4 separate regions of the Mus musculus genome follow, and all the other regions are reported to be linked to region 4. Evidence: microRNA targets listed by miRTarBase, many of them from high-throughput screens and not tested one by one. Region 4 holds a microRNA gene; each other region holds the end of a gene's coding sequence.

Region 1 (3,110 bases), not on the chromosome of region 4:
CGCAACCCCTGCTCTGTGCTAAGCGCTCCCCACTCTTCATCTCATTCCTGTCACCAAGACATGAATAGGAAGCCGTGTGGCCTGAGCCTGGCAACATAAACCATGGAGACCCTGCAAGAACTCAGCCTTGTCACTACTGAGTCTTTGGGTGCTGCTGGACAGACCCTAGTGACGTTCTCTGAGAAGTCAAAACACACTTTTCTCCAGCAGTGACAGAACTCACTGCAGACTCGTTTCCACCCACACAGCTGTATTGATTTAACCTGTTTCCTATAGCATGCTTTCAAGCTTTGTGTGTGTGTGTGTGTGTGTGTGTGTGTGTGTGTGTGTGTGTGTGTGTGTGTGTGTGTCAAAACCTATTTTTTAATGTTCCCCCATTATATATTAGGTTTCATGTTATGTCTAGAAAAGGGTTTCCTAAATCAGGTATAAAAATATTTTTTTCTGCTGGGCAGTGGTGGTGCACGCCTTTAATCCCAGCACTAGGAAGGCAGAGGCAGGTGGATTTCTGAGTTCAAGGCCAGCCTGGTCTACAGAGTGAGTTCCAGGACAGCCAGAGCTACACAGAGAAACCCTGTCTCAAAAAAACAAAAAAATTTTTTTCCTCCCAGGTGTGATGATGGCGCATGCCTTTAGTCCCAGAACTCAGGAGGCAGAGGCAGGTGGGGAATCTCTGTGATTTCCAGGCCAGCTTGGTTTACATAATGAGTTCCAGCACAGCCAGAGGTACATAGTGAGACTAAAATAATAATTAATAATAATAATAATAATAACAATTTTGTTGTTTGCTTTTGCTTTTTTCCCTCTAGCCCTAGGTTGTTTTGTTTTGTTTTTGAAACAGAAGTCTCATAGGTAGGTAGCTGTCTCAAAGCACTATGAAAATATCCACCTCCCCTCCCCTGCACCTGAAATCATATACTGAATTTCTACGTGCCTAGGTCTGTCTGACCTGACCTATCATGGCAGCTGAATTCACGCTGGCAGAAGAGTCCAAGTCGTTTGAGAACTCTGTTAAGACAGCTACTGCCTGTTGCCCGCCTTAGTGTCAGCAGCCGTTCATCACCTCGGCCATTCAGAACTACTTCACATCCTCAGCCTGTCACCTTCCAGATGAATGCCAGGACCTGAAGAGTTCCAGAAAGTGTCCAACCTCGTGGGAATTACACTGATGTTTATGGGTTGATTTGGGGAGAACCAGTCGTTACAGGGCAACTCACAGAATGCCTTGCTAGTTGACACACAGGTTTCTTAGGTAGCTTATGGTTTTAAAACAGTGGCAATTGTAATTCTTGTTTCCATCTGAAGTGTGGGTTAGTGACACCAACACACTGTGCCGCCGGGCAGTTTCTGACTGAGGGGATCAGAGCCTGCTCTGTCCGATGCTTTGGGCGCCTTCGCTTACTGGTGACGAGATCTTTATCCAGATTACGGGCTTCTTTCTAGTCTTGGCTTACTAAGTTTTCGTAAGGATGGAACTTTGCTTTTACCAACTCTTATCATTTATAGACAGATTCTCTATTGATTGAAGCAAAAACGAAGGTTCATCCAAGCACATGACCTCCTAATTTTGTCTCTGCCTTCCTCGTCCACACAGCGGGCAGGTAATACTTCTGCAGGTGGGATACGAGTGAACCTCCTCAGCCCACCAGGGGCCCCAGCACAGGATGCCTTCCCAAGACACCCAAGCACAGCCCTCTTGGAAACTCTGTTTCCATTTTAGAGAAAGGAATCCTGCCAGGATCCCCACAATGGGAACTCGTGGGGAGCCTGGTGTGTGAGATAAGAAAGCAGATCAGGGGGAGACACTCCCTACCCCTGTCACAGATCAACACCAAATGATCAGCTGAGAACTAGTGCTAGTGCCTGAAGTGTTCCGTGGCCTCTGGCCTGGAGTCTGAAGCAAGCCCTTCCTGCACCCAGCAGCCCCTAGCCAGGGCATGCAGGCCCAGTGGCACTCAGAGCAGGCCCAGTGGCACTCAGAACAGAGCCAGAGCAGAAAGCAGCAAAGCCTTTAGGCTCTTAGGAGAACCAGGGACTCCTTCCACGCCTTTACTCCACTAATAATGGGCGCCTACCCCTCTCCTCCCAGAATCACCCTGCTCCTGTACCCTCATACCAGCACTGTGGGGTCCATATGACCCCGCAGAGCAAGCTCATACCTGCAGTCTCCTAGCGTGAGGTTGTCCCCCAGCCTCCCTGACCTCTTCTGCTTGTCCCCACTCTTCCTACATCCCATTTTGGGAAAAGGATGAAGCCTGAGTTGTGCCCAGCTGGGTACCTACTCACAGCCTAGGGCAAGGGCCTCCTCTCCCCTGTCTCTCTGCCCCCGCCGCCTGCTGATGTAAGGACTGTTCCAAACGCAGGAGCAGCAATAGACAACGGAAGGGCACAGCACAGTCTGTCACTTCTGAGGCAGAGCGGAGGGGAGACTTGGTGTGGCTTGTCCAGCTTAGTCTTGGTGTTAGGAGGCAGTCTCTGTGGATGAACCCTGTCTTCAGGCCACAAGAAGCCCTGGCCTAGCCCAAGCGCAGGCGGAAGGTGCTGATCTCCATGGGCTCCAGAGAGATGTCAGTGCTGTTGGAAGGTGAGGCCAGAGGGTATAGCAAAGTCAAGGAGGTTGGCTGCAGGAAGGTCACATCCAGGCCATGGAAGAGGCTCCCCAGGGCTAGCTGTGAAGAGAAAGGGGGCAGGGTGAGCCGGGCGCTGCTAACAGTGGGTAAGTTCTTCCTTACACGGAGTGCTGCCCTTTTGGGTTTTTTCCTTTTTTTTTCTTTTCTTTTCTTTTTCTTTTTTTTTTTTTTTTTTTTTTTTTTTTTGAGACAGGGTTTCTCTGTATAGCCCTGGCTGTCCTGGAACTCACTTTGTAGACCAGGCTGGCCTCGAACTCAGAAATGCACCTGCCTCTGCCTCCCAAGTGCTGGGATTAAAGGTGTGCGCCACCTTGCCCAGCCCTTTTGGGATTTTTTGAGACAGGGTCTCACACTGTAATCCAGGCTAGCCTCAGACTCAGAGCAGTCCTGCCACAGTGCTGGGACTGTGTTGTGAGCCAACACACCTGGATTTCTGTCAGATTCTTAGAGCTAAAATGGTGTAACAGGACTCTAGCTCTT
Region 2 (3,110 bases), not on the chromosome of region 4:
AATATCAGTGACACTCTGAACGGATGGTATAAAAATGGGAAGCACCCCGAGCACGCTTTCTATGAGTTCACCTTTCGGAGGTTTTTTGATGACAATGGCTACCCATATAATTATCCAAAGCCTATTGAGTATGAATACATTCATTCACAGGGCTCAGAACAACAGTCTGATGAAGATGATCAACACACAAGCTCCGATGGAAACAACCGAGATCTAGTGTATGTTTAATAAACTAGGAGATCATTGTAAGAATTTGCAAGAGGCCTGAAGTGCAGGGGTTTTTGAAGTTTTGAGAAAATTATGCAAATGTGACAGAGTTTGTGTGCTCTGTGTACAATATTTTATTTTCCTAAGTTATGGGAAATTGTTTTAAAATGTTAATTTATTCCACCCTTTTAATTCAGTAATTTAGAAAAAATTGTTATAAGGAAAGTAAATTATGAACTGAGTATTATAGTCAATTCTTGGTACTTAAAGTACTTAAAAAATAGTGCTCTGTTTAAAAAGAGAAGCCTGGTATCTTTTGTATATATGATAAATAATTTTAAAATTCAAGAATTTTTGAAGATTTTTGAAAGACAGTTTTATCTTGCTTTAACCAAATATGAAATATAACCATATTTCCCTTGTAACTTTGGGTTTAGTTCCCAATACGCTAAAGAAATCAAGCCGTTGTTTTAGAAGGTAAGGTGTTCCTAGAGTAATTTTAATCTTGAAGTCATATCCTGTAATCACAAATACAGAGCAAAAACAATATGTTCACTAGAAATAATGCAGCTTACCCCTTCCCTCCCCAGAAGTCTTCAACCTAACCTAGCATTTTTCTTTCAGATACCGGCTTTAAAGAAGCCAGAGCACTGCTAGTTTTGTTTCCAGATTGGTATTAATGCTGCTTCCAGTTTTTGTTTTATTGGGATTTTTGTTTTGGTTTGGTTTTGGGTTTTTTTTCGAGGGGTGGGGGTATTGTTTTGTTTTGATTTTTTTTTTTTTGTTTTGGTTTGGTTTTTTGGGGGGCAGGGGATTGAGACAGGGTTTCTCTGTGTAGCCCTGGCTGTCCTGGAACTCGCTCTGTGACCAGGCTGGCCTCAGACTCAGAGGTTCACCAGACTCTGCCTCCCCCGAGAGCTGGAATTAAAAGTGTGTGCCACCACACCCAGCTGTTTCCAGTTTTAAAAGGGAACAAAGTTGCCATGAATTGAATTTTCAAACTGAAACTAAGATCTGTAATATTTGTATCTTAAAATTAGAAGAAAAATTTCCATCTCCTAAGTAAAGAAATTATTTTCAGTTTGTAATTTTTTTTTTTAATTTACGTGTATGTACTCACTAAGAAAGTACATTTTCTAGGGGCTAAGGATATGGCTCAGTGGTAGAGCACTTGCCTAACATACACAAAGCCTTGGGTTCAGTCCCTAGCCCCTGCCACATAAAGGTACCTTTGTTGTACAGTGACCAATCTTGATTGTGTCATTGATGCTATAGATTTCCTTTTTCAGAACAGTGCTACAATACAAATTGTTGGCAAAGGAAATGTAACTATTTGGCACTATTATACCTAAGAGTAGATTAATTGGTTAAAAATAATTATTAATTAACTCTTAATTGGGATGAGCATCCCTAATTAGATACATAGTAGTTTAGAAAGTGAAAACTTCCTAAGTTATTTAAGATTAATGTCCTATTTATATAATGTTTAGGTTCTAAGGAAGAATTGTGGATCCCTAACAAACATCTTAGGAACATCTTTTAGGAAGAAGAATGGGGCTGTACTCTGACCTTAGTAAAGTTTGTATGTATATTATTTCATTTTTTCAAGGTTTATTGACATGAATTGCTTTATCAGACTTAATGTTTGTGGCTAGGAATGATGTTTACCTATCTAGCTTTCTTATAAAAGATAATTTGTTTAAAACCATATGTATAGTAAAATTAAAAGCAAAGCTATTTGTTTGAATTGGGGAGAGAGAAAAACATTATTAGCTTACACTTTCATGTTGAGCTTGGAACCTGTCACGTGTACAAGTGAGCCTTCAGACCATAGATCATTTTGAGATAAAGACTATGTGAACTCAGGCCCTACTGAAAAAAAGTGTGTATCCACACATACATTAGAAAGTGTTGCATGCACTCTCAAGAGACCCTGGGTGTGATAAAACTTCCCAGACAGCAGGTTAAAGACCTACATCCTGTGAGTCAATTGCTATATCAAAGTAAGACCTTTGATATCCTTTGACTTTATTGCACAGCGCTCAGATGAGCACGTTTGTAAACAAGTAATGATCTGCTCTTGGAATGAGCCCGTGAAAGCAACACAGCACAGACATGTCTATAACATGAAAGCAGCACAACACAGACATGTCTATAACACTGTTCTAACGGCACTGGTGTCTTGTGATTCTGAGGGCTCCTGATGAGAGCTGTCACCAGACAGTCTTCACAGCATGGAGCGTCTGAAGTCTGAAGGCCCTATGCAAAGCATGCATTGAGGGAGGTTTGGCCTGGGTCCCTCCCACAGGTCAGAAAGACAGCCCTCTGACCTTCGGGCTCTTCACTCAGACTGACATTTTCATTTAGTGGTTTTACACCTGGATCATGTTCACAACGCAGGACTGCTAAGGTGCTGCCCCTCCCCACGACCATGGTGCCTCAGAATGTAAACACTAATTCTACGTCCTTCTTTGCTTCCCTCGGACAGTATAAGCTTCTAGCGTTTGTCTGAGGCAGTATACAAGGATTCGGTATCTGCAATTTTAGTATTTTGTTCACAATTTTAACATTTTGGATGCTCATGTTGGTTATTTTACCCCTGACTACACCCAGTTCTCCCAGCATAGGAGTTGCTGCTTTCTGAGCAAACAATGAGCACAGCATAGAAAACATAGACACTTAATTAAAACGGCAAAGACGCTGCTCTCCAGCTCTCCCCTAGAACCCGCCGTCTCCTGTGCGTGCCCCTTCAGTGTGTATCAGTGGTATTTATAAAATGTGCTCTATAATTATGTGCTTGTACATACTGGTATATGTTGTGCAGTGATGTCCTGAGGCAGGCCCTGTTGCTGTATCTGTCCTACCTTCCTATTTGTAATAGAAACTATAGAATGTATGACTAA
Region 3 (3,091 bases), not on the chromosome of region 4:
TCGCTGCTGCAGCTCCGGTTGGCTGAGAGCCAGACGCGCCTGGACCACGACGTAGCGGCTGCGGTGAGCGGCGTGTACCGCCGTGCGGGTCGCGATGTGGCCGCCCTGGCGGGGAGGCTGGCGGCTGCTCAGGCCACCGGGCTGGCAGCCGCCCACAGCGTGCGCCTGGCGCGCGGGGACCTCTGCGCGCTCGCCGAGCGCCTGGATATCGTGGCTGGCTGTCGCTTGCTGCCGGACATACGAGGGGTCCCTGGTATGGAGCCCGAGCAGGACCCGGGACCTAGAGCCTAGGCTGTCACTCTGTGTCCCCCCACCTGACTCTGCCTCTTGGTGAACATTCGTACCACCTGTGGCATCTGACTCTGTTTTTGTTCCTGGATCACCGAGGCCTCCAATGCGTGGTAGCATTTGATCAATGCCGACAGAAGCCGAATCCTCGCATCTTCTTTGATATTCTTAGCACAATTCCGGGCTCCCCAACCCAGGTTCTGTGGCTATCAAGTAGCTTAGCCCCTATCCATTCTGGTCCTGTTTCCTAAATTCAGCTTTACTCTTGGGCAAAGCCAGAGGTTTGCTTTCTTTTGTTGAGCCTTTCTGAATTTAGGCTTTGGGGGGTAGTGGTGTCTCTCTAGTTTACATCCCTAAATGATGATCACTCCTGACCCGAGGATACCTTCCTCTTACACATATCCCTCTTACCGACCGCTGTGGCCAAATGCAGACCAACCTAGGGCCTGGGTAGTAACCCTAATTCTTAGGCCTTTGTGTCAGGGGCAGCGCCTCCTGGTGTTTTGATCGCTATAGAGACATGACACCACAAATACAAATCTACCACTCACTGTGTCTCTTTCTGGATGCTAAAAGGACTTGGATTCTGACCTCTATGGGCCTCGAGGATAACAGGTTCTTTTTGCCTCTTTGGGTTTGGCTCTTTGGGTGTCTTTTTGGCCACTCCTTTTGTCTCTGTCTTAATGAGGATTCAGTGACCTTATGTGGAAGGGAGCTCGGGTGGTGGGGTGAGACTGTAGCTCAGTGGTGTCGTGTACGCTTAGTGTGGGCGGCCCTGGGTTCAATTCCTAGGACCACCCTGCTTCAAAAGAAACAAACAAGCACATTCTTTGTTTGTTTGTTTTGTTTTTGTTTTGTTTTTTGAGACAGGGTTTCTCTGTGTAGTCCTGGCTGTCCTGGAACTCACTTTGTAGACCAGGCTGGCCTCAAACTCAGAAATTCACCTGCTTCTGCCTCCCAAGTGCTGGGATTAAAGGCGTGTGCCACCACTGCCCGGTCAAACTAGAACATTCTTAGATGCCTGTGTCCCCTTTAAAAATTTACCCAGGGTGGGGGGTGGGGTGGGGCTGGAAAGTAGAGGTCCTGAGTTCAAACCCCAGAAACCACATGGTGGCTCACAACCATCTGTATTGAGATCTGATGCCCTCTTCTGGTGTGTCTGAAGACAGCTACAATGTACTTATATATAATAAATAAATTATTAAAAAATTTACCCTCTTGATTCTAACTATCAGCTGATATGCTATTTTGTTTTTACATCAACTAGAGTCAGGGTTTTTATTGGTAATTAGGCGTGGAGATTGGGGATTTAGCTCAGGGTTACAGCTCTTGCCTAGCAAGTGCAAGGCCCTGGGTTTGGTCCTCAGCTCAAAAAACAAAACAAAACCTCAAAAAAATCCAACCAAACCCCTCCCCTCCTCAAAAACAAAACATGTAACTGGTGCATGTCAGGCAGTGGTGGCACACACCTCAGTCCCAGCACTGGCTGGGCAGAGGCAGGCAGATCTGAGCTTGAGGCCAGCTTGGTCTGTAGAGCAAGTTCCAGAACAGCCAGGGCTACCCAGAGAAATCCTGTCTCAGTTTTAAAAAAGGAAAAAAATTGTGTGCACATATGTGTGTGCTTGCAGGTATGTTTACCCAGTATGTGTGCTGTATACAGGTGTGCCTATATGTTCAGGTGTGTCCATGTGTGTGTGTAAGCACGTGTGCTTGCATGTGTGTAGAGCTTCCTGTGTATAAACAGGTGTGTCTGCATGCATGCAGGTGTGACTGTATTGTGGGCTCAGGTGTGCCTGGATGTGCAGATCTGTCTGCAGATGTCAGGAGCTGTGTATGTGCATGTAAGGGCCTGTATGTGACAGGTGATGTGCAAGGCTGTCCTCTCCCGAAGCTCTGCTGTGCCGCTGGCACAAGGCCACCACAGAAAGGACTTGTTGACCTTTGAGTTCCCTAGAAGAAGGGGGTATAAGGAGGCTGTGCCACCTCACCTGAGGGTCCAGCCACTCTTCACAAGCACTTGTTTACAACTCTGCCCTAACTCCACCTGTGTCAGGGACTGGGTAGATGTACACAGACCAAGAAAGGACAGAGAGGGGGCTCCATGTACACAGCCACACACAAGCCATCCCTACTGCATGCATACCTTCCAGTAGGGCTGCTCCTGCTCTTAACCCCACACTCTTGCTCCATAAAGCATGGGACCTTGAAAGGTACCATGGTCCCCGGCTGAGCTAAGGCTAGAAGCCGAGGAGAGCCTGAAGGGACCTAAGGAGGTTTACCTGCTCCAGGGCACCAGGCCTGTCACTAGCAGCAGCCCCACCCCCATAGATTTGTGACCATCAGTCATGTAAGGGGAACGCCCAAGCCCCTCCACTCGTAAAGGCTGTGACCTGTGGTCAAGTAGGCACAAGACAGATCTCCATTTTTAACAAGGTTCCTAAAGGCCTGGAGGATGTAGCCAGTAAGCTTTCCTTCCCAGACATTCCTCCCTGCATCCACTTTCCGTCATGACAATAAATGCCTCAACAGTCCTCCTGCATTCCTAGTGCTGGATTGATTATGGGCGTGACCCATCCCTCTGGGAGATAGACAAAACCCAGGGTACTCGGTTGGTCAAGAACAAAGGTGAGGGTCCTGAGAAAATGGTTCAGTGGCTAAGAGCTCTTGCTTTGGACACAGGTGAAGCTGGGGTCCAATCCCCAAGAACAAAGGCAGGCACAGCTGCGCATGCCTGGAACCCAAATTGGGGGTGACAGAGACAGGAAGATCCTGAGAGCTTGCTGGCCAACCAGCCTAGCAGAAA
Region 4 (3,110 bases):
GCTGTGCTCACAGGCTGACACTCGCAGGAGAAATAGGATCGCAGGCTGCTCAGCTAATGTGGAAGCCTGGTGGCTGATAGTCTTTGACAGTACATAATTGTTTGTTTGGTTTTTTTTTTTTCCCTGGGAGACCCCATTTTCTGCCCAGTTGTAGCTGCTTGCACCCGCACCTTGGATGACTCCCACACTTTGCTTAGTGGGCTTTTCAAGCTTTAGAAATCCGCTCTGCATTATAATAGCAAGATCAGCACAAAAAGTAGGAACTATAGAGGATCCTGCGAGTGTTGTTTGTGCCCCAGTGTTTGTTCTGGTCATCTCTGCCCTCGTTGGCTCAGAGCTGTCTTCACATTTCTGCTGTTTTAAAAAAAGGGGGGTGGGGAGTTTTGGATTGCTAGGGAGTCACTTACCCAGGTGAGCAGAGACATCTGACCTTGCTTGCAGGGTGGTTGCTGGGCCCGTTGTAGCAGGAGAAATGGCCTTTCCTTGGCCACAGCAAGAAAGCTTCCATGACCTTAATGTCACTTGGGGGTCCACTAGGCAGTTTGGGATGTGTGAACACAGCTGCTCTACCAGAGGAAGCCAAAATCAAAAGCATTTTGATTACCGGCACACTCAAATAGAATTGGGAGTGGGGCACGTGGAAACCAGGCTAGAACAAGCATCCCTGGGTGGTGGGCATGCCGGGAAGCTCTAGAGAAGGGGATGTGGGTACCTGGCCCTGGCTAGAAAGAAGGCCTCCAGCTAGGGCGAAGGAGGCAGACTGCAGCTGAAATGAGACTGAGTCTCGCTCGGCTCAGGGACGCAGCGCAGGCTCTGCACAGTACACAGGTTCTTGTGTCAGCAGGCTTTTCCTGGCCTGGGAATGCTCAGTTATAGATGCAAGCCCCTCCCTCTCCTTCACTTCAGGGTCTCCTACTGCAGGGGTCTGATTAGAGACCTCCCCATCTCCCCCGCTGCAGGGCCCTCTTCCCTGCCTGTTGGCTGCTTTCTGCCATTTCTGAGTAGACCTAGGTGGGAGCTTGTTGTGTGTGTCGCCCTCACGCCCGTGATTCAGGTGGCAGGGGCTGACTCTGTCCTTGCTCTTGGACCAGGAGCTTCACTGATGGCCGAGTTGGGCTTCCCACTTAAACTTGTGCCAGAGCTGCTGGGACCAGTTCCTGTGATCTGCAGGCAAAGGGACGGAAGTTTTATCTTCTGGAGCCAGCCCCTCAGCCTAGTCAAGGAAATCTGCACCCTGTTCAAGCTCCTGGGGTCTGTCTGCTCCTGTGTTGGAACTGGGGACATGTGAGATAGCAGTGGGAGAGGTTAGACCTAGAAAACCCATGGGACCTTCATAACCTTGTTGGTGGGGCCAGTCAGCCTGAGTCAGGTGAGCTGAGGCCAGAGAGCCAAGAAAACCGATGTATAGTCGGGGACTCACAGCCTAGAGGCCTTGTGGTCTGTGCTGGAGTCTGTGAGAAAGTTAATTCTCTGGGCAGCCTGAGGTCAAGACTTAGGCTTTAGCCTGTGTTTAACCCCCAAGTAAGTGACACAGGGTGTTTCTGCCGTGACTGCAGAAGGACCTGTGGCCTGGACAGAGCCTGGGCTTGGTGGCGGTGACAACATCACCTCTGGGGATTCGTGTGTCCTGTGGCAGCTGGTGATGGCCCAGTCTCCTGTTTCTCAGGGATACATCAGATCTGCTGCTCACTTCCGCCATTCAGGTCACTGAGGAGGCAGGGTGCCGCATCTGTCATCTTTGTCTTTTTCAAGCATGGGGCTTAAGTGACATTTTGTGCATTTGAAAAGTCATATCTAGAAGGGGATCCCTAGGTGGGTGTGACCCTTGCCTTGGCACCAAGGTGGTGAGAGCACAGCTGTGCAGAGCTGGACGGGGTGGCCACTATCCCTGTCCTCCAGGAGCTCACGTATGCCTGCCTGTGAGCGCCTCGGCGACAGAGCCGGTGTCCACCCCTGCACTGTCCACAGACCCTTGCCTGCAGACCAGGGTGCTCAGTCGCTGGCTGTTCATGCTGTACCTTCTTGAACTCGATTGTGCAGATCTGCAGGTTGTTCCGTGGATGGAGGGGACTCTGGTTTCTCTGTGCGGTGACGCAAGGCACTGACCCCTCTGGGGTCCTAATCATCTTAACCTACGCAGACACTGAGGGGGAGGGGAGAGGAGCCAGGAGGGAGCCTTCCAGGTCTCTCCCTCTGTGTGTGTCCTCTGTAGCACCAGTTGATTCTACTGCGTGTGACCTATGTCCTGGCAGTTGGTGTCCCTGGGTCACTTCTACATCCACTGTGTTTCAGTAATTACCTCCAAATAAAAAGCTTCCTTTAAAACAAACTCTCTCCCCTCTCTTCATTATGTTGTTGTGCTTTTGCTTTGTCTTCTGGAAATCTTGCTACCGAGTGAGTGCATAGCCGGGCAGCAGTCTGCTGAGGTCTGTGAACCGGAATGGGCTCTCAAGGTCGAACACCTCTGTGGGACCCTGGACTCGGGCTGGCTCCAACTGAATGGAGGAGGGCTGATTCTGGGCTGGGGAATGAGAACAGAGTCCACTGGCCTTGGCACCCAGCTCGTCAGCCTCAGCAGGCTTCGTGGTCTCCCCCCACAAACATCGCTGTCACTTGTAGGCCATTCCCAATGTCTGGGGAACAGGTATAGGGGTGGTAGGGACCAGAGACCATGCCCCAGCCTTGGAGGCACCACCTGGGTATGTGATAGACAGGCCAGGTGCTGGGCTCCATCGACCATCTGCTGTGCCCTTGGGACTCTGTCCTGTGTGAAGCGGGTCAAATGACTGGATTCCCTGCCACTCAGCTGCGCCCCCAGTACAGCTGCTCTGGTCACATGATGGGGTGGGGACAACAGAGGGTCCTTCTACCCTCACCTGTGTTCATCCTTACACCTGACTCAGTCATTCCAAGAAAGAAGGTCCTACAGAGCTGTGTGTCTGGCACTGGCTACCAGGGCCTCTACTGCCAAGGTCTACAACTAACCTTTGAGGGGTTTTTGTTTATGTTTGAGACAGACTTGCTAAGCTCAAGCTAGCCTTGGACTTTCAATCCTCAGGACATATTCACCAACCTCCTCCACAATTCCAAGAACGTTTGAACAAGATGTT

The links. The annotated mature microRNA mmu-miR-339-5p reads UCCCUGUCCUCCAGGAGCUCACG and lies in region 4 at 1,886-1,908, shown strand. An mRNA with a match to its seed (bases 2 to 7 or 8) in the 3' UTR can be bound and repressed. Matches are read on the target gene's strand: a 7mer-m8 pairs with bases 2 to 8, a 7mer-A1 pairs with bases 2 to 7 and ends in A, and an 8mer does both.
Region 1: miRTarBase lists Man2a2 as a target of mmu-miR-339-5p. Seed matches in the 3' UTR shown: 7mer-m8 at 2,487-2,493, 7mer-m8 at 2,311-2,317, 7mer-m8 at 1,814-1,820 and 7mer-m8 at 573-579.
Region 2: miRTarBase lists Lats1 as a target of mmu-miR-339-5p. Seed matches in the 3' UTR shown: 7mer-m8 at 1,026-1,032.
Region 3: the mRNA of Bloc1s3 is a reported target of mmu-miR-339-5p. Seed matches in the 3' UTR shown: 7mer-m8 at 1,154-1,160.

The regions. Positions count from the first base shown.
Region 1 is chr7:80,349,183-80,352,292 of GRCm38, forward strand. Man2a2 (mannosidase 2, alpha 2) reads right to left here. Exons shown (of 24, transcript NM_172903.4): 24 at 1-2,669. The coding sequence ends at 2,517. Among named protein-coding and RNA genes, the nearest start is that of Hddc3, 7.6 kb to the left of the region's middle.
Region 2 is chr10:7,712,783-7,715,892 of GRCm38, forward strand. Lats1 (large tumor suppressor) reads left to right here. Exons shown (of 8, transcript NM_010690.1): 8 at 1-3,110. The coding sequence ends at 228. Among named protein-coding and RNA genes, the nearest start is that of Katna1, 12 kb to the right of the region's middle.
Region 3 is chr7:19,504,214-19,507,304 of GRCm38, reverse strand. Bloc1s3 (biogenesis of lysosomal organelles complex-1, subunit 3) reads left to right here. Exons shown (of 2, transcript NM_177692.4): 2 at 1-1,501. The coding sequence ends at 291. Among named protein-coding and RNA genes, the nearest start is that of Bloc1s3, 2.6 kb to the left of the region's middle.
Region 4 is chr5:139,368,506-139,371,615 of GRCm38, reverse strand. Mir339 (microRNA 339) reads left to right here and starts at 1,871; the gene lies at 1,871-1,966. The region is part of intron 2 of 3110082I17Rik (RIKEN cDNA 3110082I17 gene); the gene reads left to right.